Linked DNA regions of Tribolium castaneum. The protein of the gene in region 2 binds, or shares a complex with, the protein of the main gene of each other region. Links are inferred from orthologs where the notes say so. Each region holds a gene or a part of one and is shown on either strand. Other genes may lie near its edges.

Region 1 (3,415 bases), on a different chromosome or scaffold from region 2:
TAGCACGTAACTTGATAGCTTCATGAGGCCCGATTTTTGGCCGTTTTGGCGCTTGGGAGTGGTGGAGCCATTGGTGAGGAGTTTCTCGCTGGGGGTGGGCACCGTCATGATGGGGGTAAATGCACTGACACGGAACTTAACACACTTGATGATTTGTGGCCGAGAAACGCGTTTTTTCGTTTTATAACTTTGACAAACGGAACATAACCAAAGAAGTCAATTGTGACGTTTGACATGTGGCTGTGGTTACGTCACGGCGGCTATTAAATCAGGGAAAAATTATAATTAGTGACACGTTTCCGTTATCTATTGCTTAATTCTATTCTTATCATTTGTGTGTAAAAATGTTCGTGATGGCGTAACAACTGTAGAATAGTCGGTTATCAAAGAAGCGTAATTGTAGCCACTTCCAATTTACAGGGAACTGTATTATTTGTACCGACAATTTGAAAAAACAGTTAATTAGTGCCTTATTGCGTAAGTATGGACGAAAACCGGCCCGCAACGATATTATTTATAGCAAAACACGTCATTATATAAATGCTGCGCTTTTTATTTATAATTCGAATGACCACACATCAATATGACATAACCTCACTTTTGCAAATTACAAAAAATTAATTGCTTTTTTCGGCGACTGGGAAGCTAATTTGGTCCATCAGATCGTCGATTTTTGCCTGTAATGTCTCTAAAATATCGGCTGAAATAAATAAGTGGTTTTCATCCAAGTCCTGAATTATGAATTTTCGGCCTAGTTTTGTAGTCTCATCTAAATACAAAAGGAATTGTTTCATGGCCTGGTCACTGAAACAACGCATTTTTTAGGGGAAAATGTTCAAGAAAAAAGGTCTAAGTTTTGAGGAGAAAAAGGCTAGGATGTTGCAATTGTTTCACGAGACTGGGGATTTTTATCAAATGAATGAATTGGAAATAATTGCGCCAAAGGAGAAAGGAATTACGGCGAATTCTGTGAAAGAAGTGGTCCAAGCTTTGGTGGATGATGGTTCTGTTGATAAGGATAAGATCGGGAGTTCCGTCTACTTTTGGGCTTTTCCCAGGTAAATATTATACAGGGTGTCCGTTTTTTTGAGAAGTTGTGCATTTGTATGCAAAACAATTTCTGAAAGAAAATTTTATGTGCCATTTTTAGTTTTTGAATTATTGAGAGAAATTTAAAAAAATGATTTTCGTTTTTATTTTTTTCCCATAAAAAAAACGAAGTTAAGTGTTGTAACTCTGACATCAAGCAAGCCTAGGAAAATCCGATGACAAATTTAGATTCCTTGTAAAAAGTGCCCGAAAAAGTCCTACGTCTAGTTCTTTTGGTTTTCACTTGAAAAAATAAAAACGAAAATTACAATTTTTTTTTTCAAATAATTGTTCAGCATAAAAATGCGCAACTTTGCCCTAATTTAACCGACCTCGTATCTCTTATAATAACGGAGATCACTGAGATAACTGGGAGAGTGTCCGAAAAACGGTATAGACGGGCCAAAAACACGTTTTATCCTAATTACAGCAAATTACTTAACGCGAAAAAACGCAAACTTAACGAGCTTCAAACGAAATTAGAATCGTCAACAAAAAAATTGAAATTAATTGACGAAACTATGGAAAAAGCGCAGGTGGGGAAAGAGAATTGGGACGACAGCCAGATTTTGAAGGAAATTGAAAAACTGGAAAAACAGAAAGAAAAATTCGAATCTCTGTCGAAATCTCACACAGATACTCAAAATTTGAAATTAATGCAAAGTGAGATAAAACCGGTAAAAGAAGCAGCAAATCGATGGACTGATAATATCTTCGCGGTCAAATCATGGTGCAAAAGGAAGTTTATGATGGAAGATAAGGTTTTAAATAAGCAGTTTGGGATTCCCGGAGATTTGGATTATCTGGCATGATTGAGGTTATGTCAAACAAAAACTCAAAAAAATTGTTAGGGCCTTACCAGGTCACCAAAACGCCTTTCATTACATTAACCATTGTTGATAATCGAGAATTGTGTACTTTTTTAAATCAGAAATAAATTATTTTTCTTACAAAAGTTGGTGTTTTTATGACATTTGACAACTTATAGAATGCAACTAACCTCTCACACGTGTATTGCTGATTGCATAATCACAAATTTCCCCAAAATTATATTTTTTTTCAAGTATTTCTTTGAAAAAAGTGGATAAATTGATAACAGGGATTGCTATATAGCCCCATTTTGGAACCCTCCTGTGTACCACTTGACTGAATGATGTTGCACTTTTATTACATAATACCTAAATAAATTCAGGTACAAAAGTCGCACTCGTTATCGAAAGCGGATTATTTTTAAACCATCGGCACGATGATTTTCACTTCTGAGCCCTAATCTCGCCATAAACGATAAAATGATTAAAAAGTACACAAACGTAGCGGTGGGAGTCGATCATAGGTTACAAACTTGGACTTTCACCTAGTTATTGTATCGTTAATAAACCAAACAAAATCCGCATTACACACCACTTTTTACTCGTAACCGAACGCGAAAAAATGGCCCTAAACCTGTTCATCAAGCGAAGCCTTTCAACTTCAAGCCCCATGAACGCAGTTATAAAAAACGTAACTGTGATCGGGGGCGGCCTCATGGGCTCAGGCATCGCCCAAGTAAGTGTACCCCAAACCACCCGAACCTAACCTAACATTCGCCCCCTTGCTTAGGTGGCCGCGCAAACCGGCCACAACGTGACCATCGTGGAAGTCAACCCCGACTTGATCAAAAAAGCCGAAGACAGCATTGCGAAAAACTTGGTACGAGTCGCCAAAAAACTCCACAAGGATGACCCGCAAGCCGCTAATAAATTCGTGAGCGAATCGCAGGCCCGGATTAAGGGGTGCACCGACATTGCCGAAGCTGTGAAAGACAGCGATTTGGTCGTGGAGGCGATTGTTGAAAACATGGATGTTAAGCACAAATTGTTCAAAAATTTGGATGAGGTCGCGCCCCCCAAAACCATGTTTGCGTCAAATACGAGCTCGCTCTCGATTACCGAAATTGCCTCCGTTACGAAGAGGAAGGATAGGTTCGGGGGGCTGCATTTTTTCAATCCCGTGCCCGTTATGAAGCTTTTGGAGGTTGTTAGGACTCCGGAGACGTCGCAGGAGACGTACGAGGCCTTTATGGCGTGGGGCAAAGCCGTGGGCAAGACCTGCGTCACCTGCAAGGACACCCCCGGGTTTATTGTTAACAGGCTTCTGGTGCCCTATATAGCAGAAGCCATCAGGATGATGGAGAGAGGTAATAATTATGTAATATTGAAGCTCGAAGCGAAGCTGAGAGCTTTAAGGTTGCCAAGCTTGTGGCAAATACAGGCGTTCAATAAATCTGATACGACTTGAGTTACACAAAACGAAATGAATTTTTGAAAATATTTTTATTGCCAATAAG
Region 2 (3,928 bases):
ATGAAACTTGTTCTTTCATATACCATTATTTTTTTATACGTCGTCCACCAGGAAGAGGTCAATAAATTAATGAAATTTTTACAGTAGTCTCTATGAGTGATATAAACATATACATTTTTTTGAGTTGTTGTTTTTAAATGGAAATACCTTTAACCCCAAGAGCTAGAACGAACCACTATTTTAATGTTTTTGTTTAATAAAAACCACTCCTTTAAAAATACTGTCTTTAAATTTATAGAAAACACACAAAATGAAAGGTCAGATGTAATTTATAGTTTTTTATATTACTTTACATTTAATAGTAATTTGTAGACTTATAGAGAGAAAACGATTGACTGACTTATCTCATTATTCTGCTGAACAAATGTTCACAAATTTTCGGTGTTATAACAAAATTGTTTAATAACATCTAAATAAACCACTCTATTGCAAAAACAATTATTGCATTTGAAAGAGAGGGACTTTATAGCATACGTTTCTATATTTTTCTCAAAATGACAAAAATTGGACATATTTCGTTATAACATTGAACAGTGAAGACCCCATTTTTCACCTGTTAGAACCATCCAGTAAGCAGGCATGTATGACTAGATTTTTTAAACATAATTTAGGACCACTGGCGTTGTGCCACCAAATTTTCTGTTATTAATAACTAATTTGTGTTCTTTTCGTTACATTTAATCAAGTTACAAGTTGTTTTGTGGCTAATTATTAATCTTTTTCATGGATAACATCACAACATCTTATTAAATTTGAGTAAAATCAAAAATTGTCAACCCCCACTTTTTTTTCGCAGACCGACACTAAAAATAAATTGTGACCAAAAATTTATTCAAAAAGACCTATGCTTTCAATAAACACTAATAATAGTAATAATACAGAATAAAAACAAAAATTTTCACTTTTTGTTACAGTGTTATTACCTGTAATATTTTTAACTAATTTTTACTGGAACAACTGATTTTCTTTTTCTTTTTAACAATTTAATTTCAATATGATAGAAACAAAAATAAATCGCATTTTTATCATTTTGAAATGTGTAGGAGTACTTAATAAAATGTATTAACTTGGAAAATTCGAAGTGTAATATTTCTAAACGTCGGTTTAATTTTTTACTTTGTATTTCTTCTCTTTATTCATTTCAGTTCCTAATAACACTAGTTTACAACGTTTTTTGCCAATAGATGAAACCAATGCGTATCGGTAAGTCTAATACATTCACTTAATGATATTTTAAAGCAAATAAAATGTTTAACAATTAGTTCATCACAGAAACAACGGATGCTAAATTAGACACCAGAAACCAATTTTCAAAACTTTTAGTGAACATTAAAAAAAAACTAGATGTGATAGAAAAATGTAACATACAGGATGTTTCAAAATTGACAAATTCCGAGGTCAGAGCGTTGTAAAGAATCACTTCACTAGACTAAATGTAAAAACAAAATAAAGATTCGGAACTTCCCCACAAGGATACAGTGGTTTGAAGGTGCACGTCAGCTCACTTTGAATTGCGTTTTCTTCAAATGAAGGCTAAAAATTTTTCATTATTTTCATTTTTATTACTTATGATGTAGATGATTGTGGAAGATAATAATGTAAAACAATATTTCAAAAAATCAGCTTCATTTTAGAGTAAAAAATTTAAATTTTTGTAATTTTTCTTAAAAACAAAACGGCAAATTAAAAAAATTAAGATTTTAAAAACTCCAAAATAATATAAAAAAATAAATATAAATATAAAATAATAAAGCTAGTTTTTTGAGAAATCGTTCACAGTTATTATTCTTCACAATCATCGTCACCACAAATAAGAATAAACACTGAAACATATAGGCTGAATTAAAAAAAACGCAGTTCAAAGAGTAATCTTCAAACCAATGTATCTTTGTGAGGCAGCCCCGAATATTTTTTTGTTGGTAACATTTGAAGCCTTCTTTTTAATATCTGAATCCTAGATTTTAAACACTATTTTAAAACGCTTTTCCCATAGCAACGTGTTTTCATTTAAGTTCAAATATTCCAAAAAAAAAAATTTAATAACACTCATGCGAAAACGCTTTTAAAGTTCTCGAACTTTAAGTTTTTGTTTTTGCTCCCGTATTATTAATAACTCTTTTCGATGTTTGGACTACTAAAGCAATTCTCTACAGTGCTCAGAACTCGGAATTCGCCAATTTTGATACACCCTAAATGTTTTTTTAATACTGTGTTGCCAAATAGCCTGTATATTTTTGTTATCAGTGAGTAAGTAGAAAACAAAATTACCTAGTAGAAATGATTTCTTAGTAAAAGAAAAAAAATTGTAAACTAGTGTAATTAATATATCCATTTATTATCCCAGCTAGAATGCTCTAAACCCCTACGTGTTTCTTAATATGTATTTTATTGCTTTTTGTATTACAATTAATTCATGTAATTCATCAGTCTTCACAAATGATTCAAACAGCGAACAGTTTTAACAAAAATGGGGGCCGGCCCATGTCACCCATACACACCACCTACAAACCACACAAGTATTAAACAAAAATTAATACGTTAAAAAATTATTAGTATAAAAGTAAAATTTTGTAAGACTAATTTTGCATAATTCTATTAATATAAGTCCTTCAAGTAATTAATTCTAACCAAAAAAAATCTATTCTATCTGCCTGTTTTTATTGGTTTTATTCTTAATGCATTAAAAAAGACCAATCGATGCCACAACTAGGACACAGGTGGGGGGGTATAACCAATATTTAGAGTAGGACGGTATTATCGTATTAATAACCACATACACACGCTTTCCAAATTCAGAGGTAAATGAGACAAGATGTAAACTTTAAATACATTCAAAATTTAACACAATTTCGAGCAATTTTACGAAACGTTAAAACATAACCTCAAAAACGCCGGTCACACATCCAAACAAACAGACGATAAAAGCCACTTACCTCGATCAAATTTCTTTCCCTCAGGATCAATATCTTTCACGTTGAATATATCTTCAAACAGGACACCTGCCATCGTCGAATAACGTGTAAATAATAAAAAATTAACACACTTTAATACTTTCTTATGAAAATGGGCAAATTTTGACAGACATCAACACTTGACAGTGTTCCAACCAGTGCCGCCATCTGAAAGGCCAATTCCCCAAACAAAACCAAAACAAAAACGTCACTGTTTAAATGTCAAAGGTCCACTAGAAGTGTCAACACCAAACTTTAACCTAGTTGAAATTAATAATTTATTAAATGAAAATGGCAACACTACCCCCTAGGAGGAACCCCACACCTACAAAAATATCCAAACAGCACCTGACCCCGCTACAAATCCTCCTCCAGATGGGGTTCCCCAAACACAGAGCGTGAGTAAACAAAATGATAATAAACTTTCGGGTAACTTGAAATTACACACAGCGAAAAGGCCTTAGCTGCCACTGGTAACAGGGGCGTGCAGTTGGCCTCCGACTGGTTACTGGCCCACGTAAATGACCCATTGCTGGACGATAACTCTCCAAGGGAGTACATTTTATATGCGTGTCCCACGGGACCTTTCCTGGAACAGTTACAGACCTTCTGGGAGAAGTCGCACAGGGAATGCGCCTGGAACGGGGCCCACAATTTCACGCCGCACATTACGCTAGTTTCGTTTTTTAAGGTATTTCATTTGATAAATTTTGAATTCGTTTAATGATGTGTAACAGGCGCCTGATGAAGACGCCCTACATCTGGCGCAAAGCCTAAAGTCCGTAATGGAAAGGCAGGGCGCTATGTTGAACGAGCCCCTAAAACTAGAAACGTATACTTCTCCAAATTTTATGGGGTTTTTTGTGGCGGAGGAGCACGCTGATTATTTAAAAAGGATTGCCATGCAATATGTTAAAGAAGTTTCAAATGCTAGTAAGTCGATTTTTCTATAAACCAGTAGATGGGCATGTTTGTAA

Evidence for each region.
Region 1: Polr2H (region 2) and Tfb5 share a complex: the UniProt entries of both Homo sapiens proteins name them as parts of the TBP-based Pol II pre-initiation complex. The link is inferred for Tribolium castaneum from reciprocal best matches to the Homo sapiens genes POLR2H and GTF2H5.

What each region holds. Positions count from the first base shown.
Region 1 is NC_087399.1:6,497,840-6,501,254, forward strand, and holds Tfb5 (general transcription factor IIH subunit 5), read right to left. Parts: upstream 2,091-3,415; 5' UTR 1,984-2,090; coding exon 1,949-1,983; exon of another isoform or gene 1,902-1,948; coding exon of another isoform or gene 1,520-1,901; intron 1,059-1,519; coding exon of another isoform or gene 832-1,058; exon of another isoform or gene 826-831; intron 805-825; coding exon 618-804; 3' UTR 533-617; downstream 1-532. Other genes in the region: heix (ubiA prenyltransferase domain-containing protein 1 homolog), read right to left, coding at 1-108; meiotic nuclear division protein 1 homolog, read left to right, coding at 832-1,058, 1,520-1,901; hydroxyacyl-coenzyme A dehydrogenase, mitochondrial, read left to right, coding at 2,521-2,634, 2,689-3,265. UniProt on the Homo sapiens protein: Component of the general transcription and DNA repair factor IIH (TFIIH) core complex, which is involved in general and transcription-coupled nucleotide excision repair (NER) of damaged DNA and, when complexed to CAK, in RNA transcription by RNA polymerase II.
Region 2 is NC_087396.1:10,332,488-10,336,415, forward strand, and holds the start of Polr2H (DNA-directed RNA polymerases I, II, and III subunit RPABC3), read right to left. Parts: upstream 3,070-3,928; 5' UTR 3,007-3,069; coding exon 2,934-3,006; intron 1-2,933. Other genes in the region: Epp (ecdysteroid-phosphate phosphatase), read left to right, coding at 3,237-3,349, 3,402-3,642, 3,689-3,884. UniProt on the Homo sapiens protein: DNA-dependent RNA polymerase catalyzes the transcription of DNA into RNA using the four ribonucleoside triphosphates as substrates.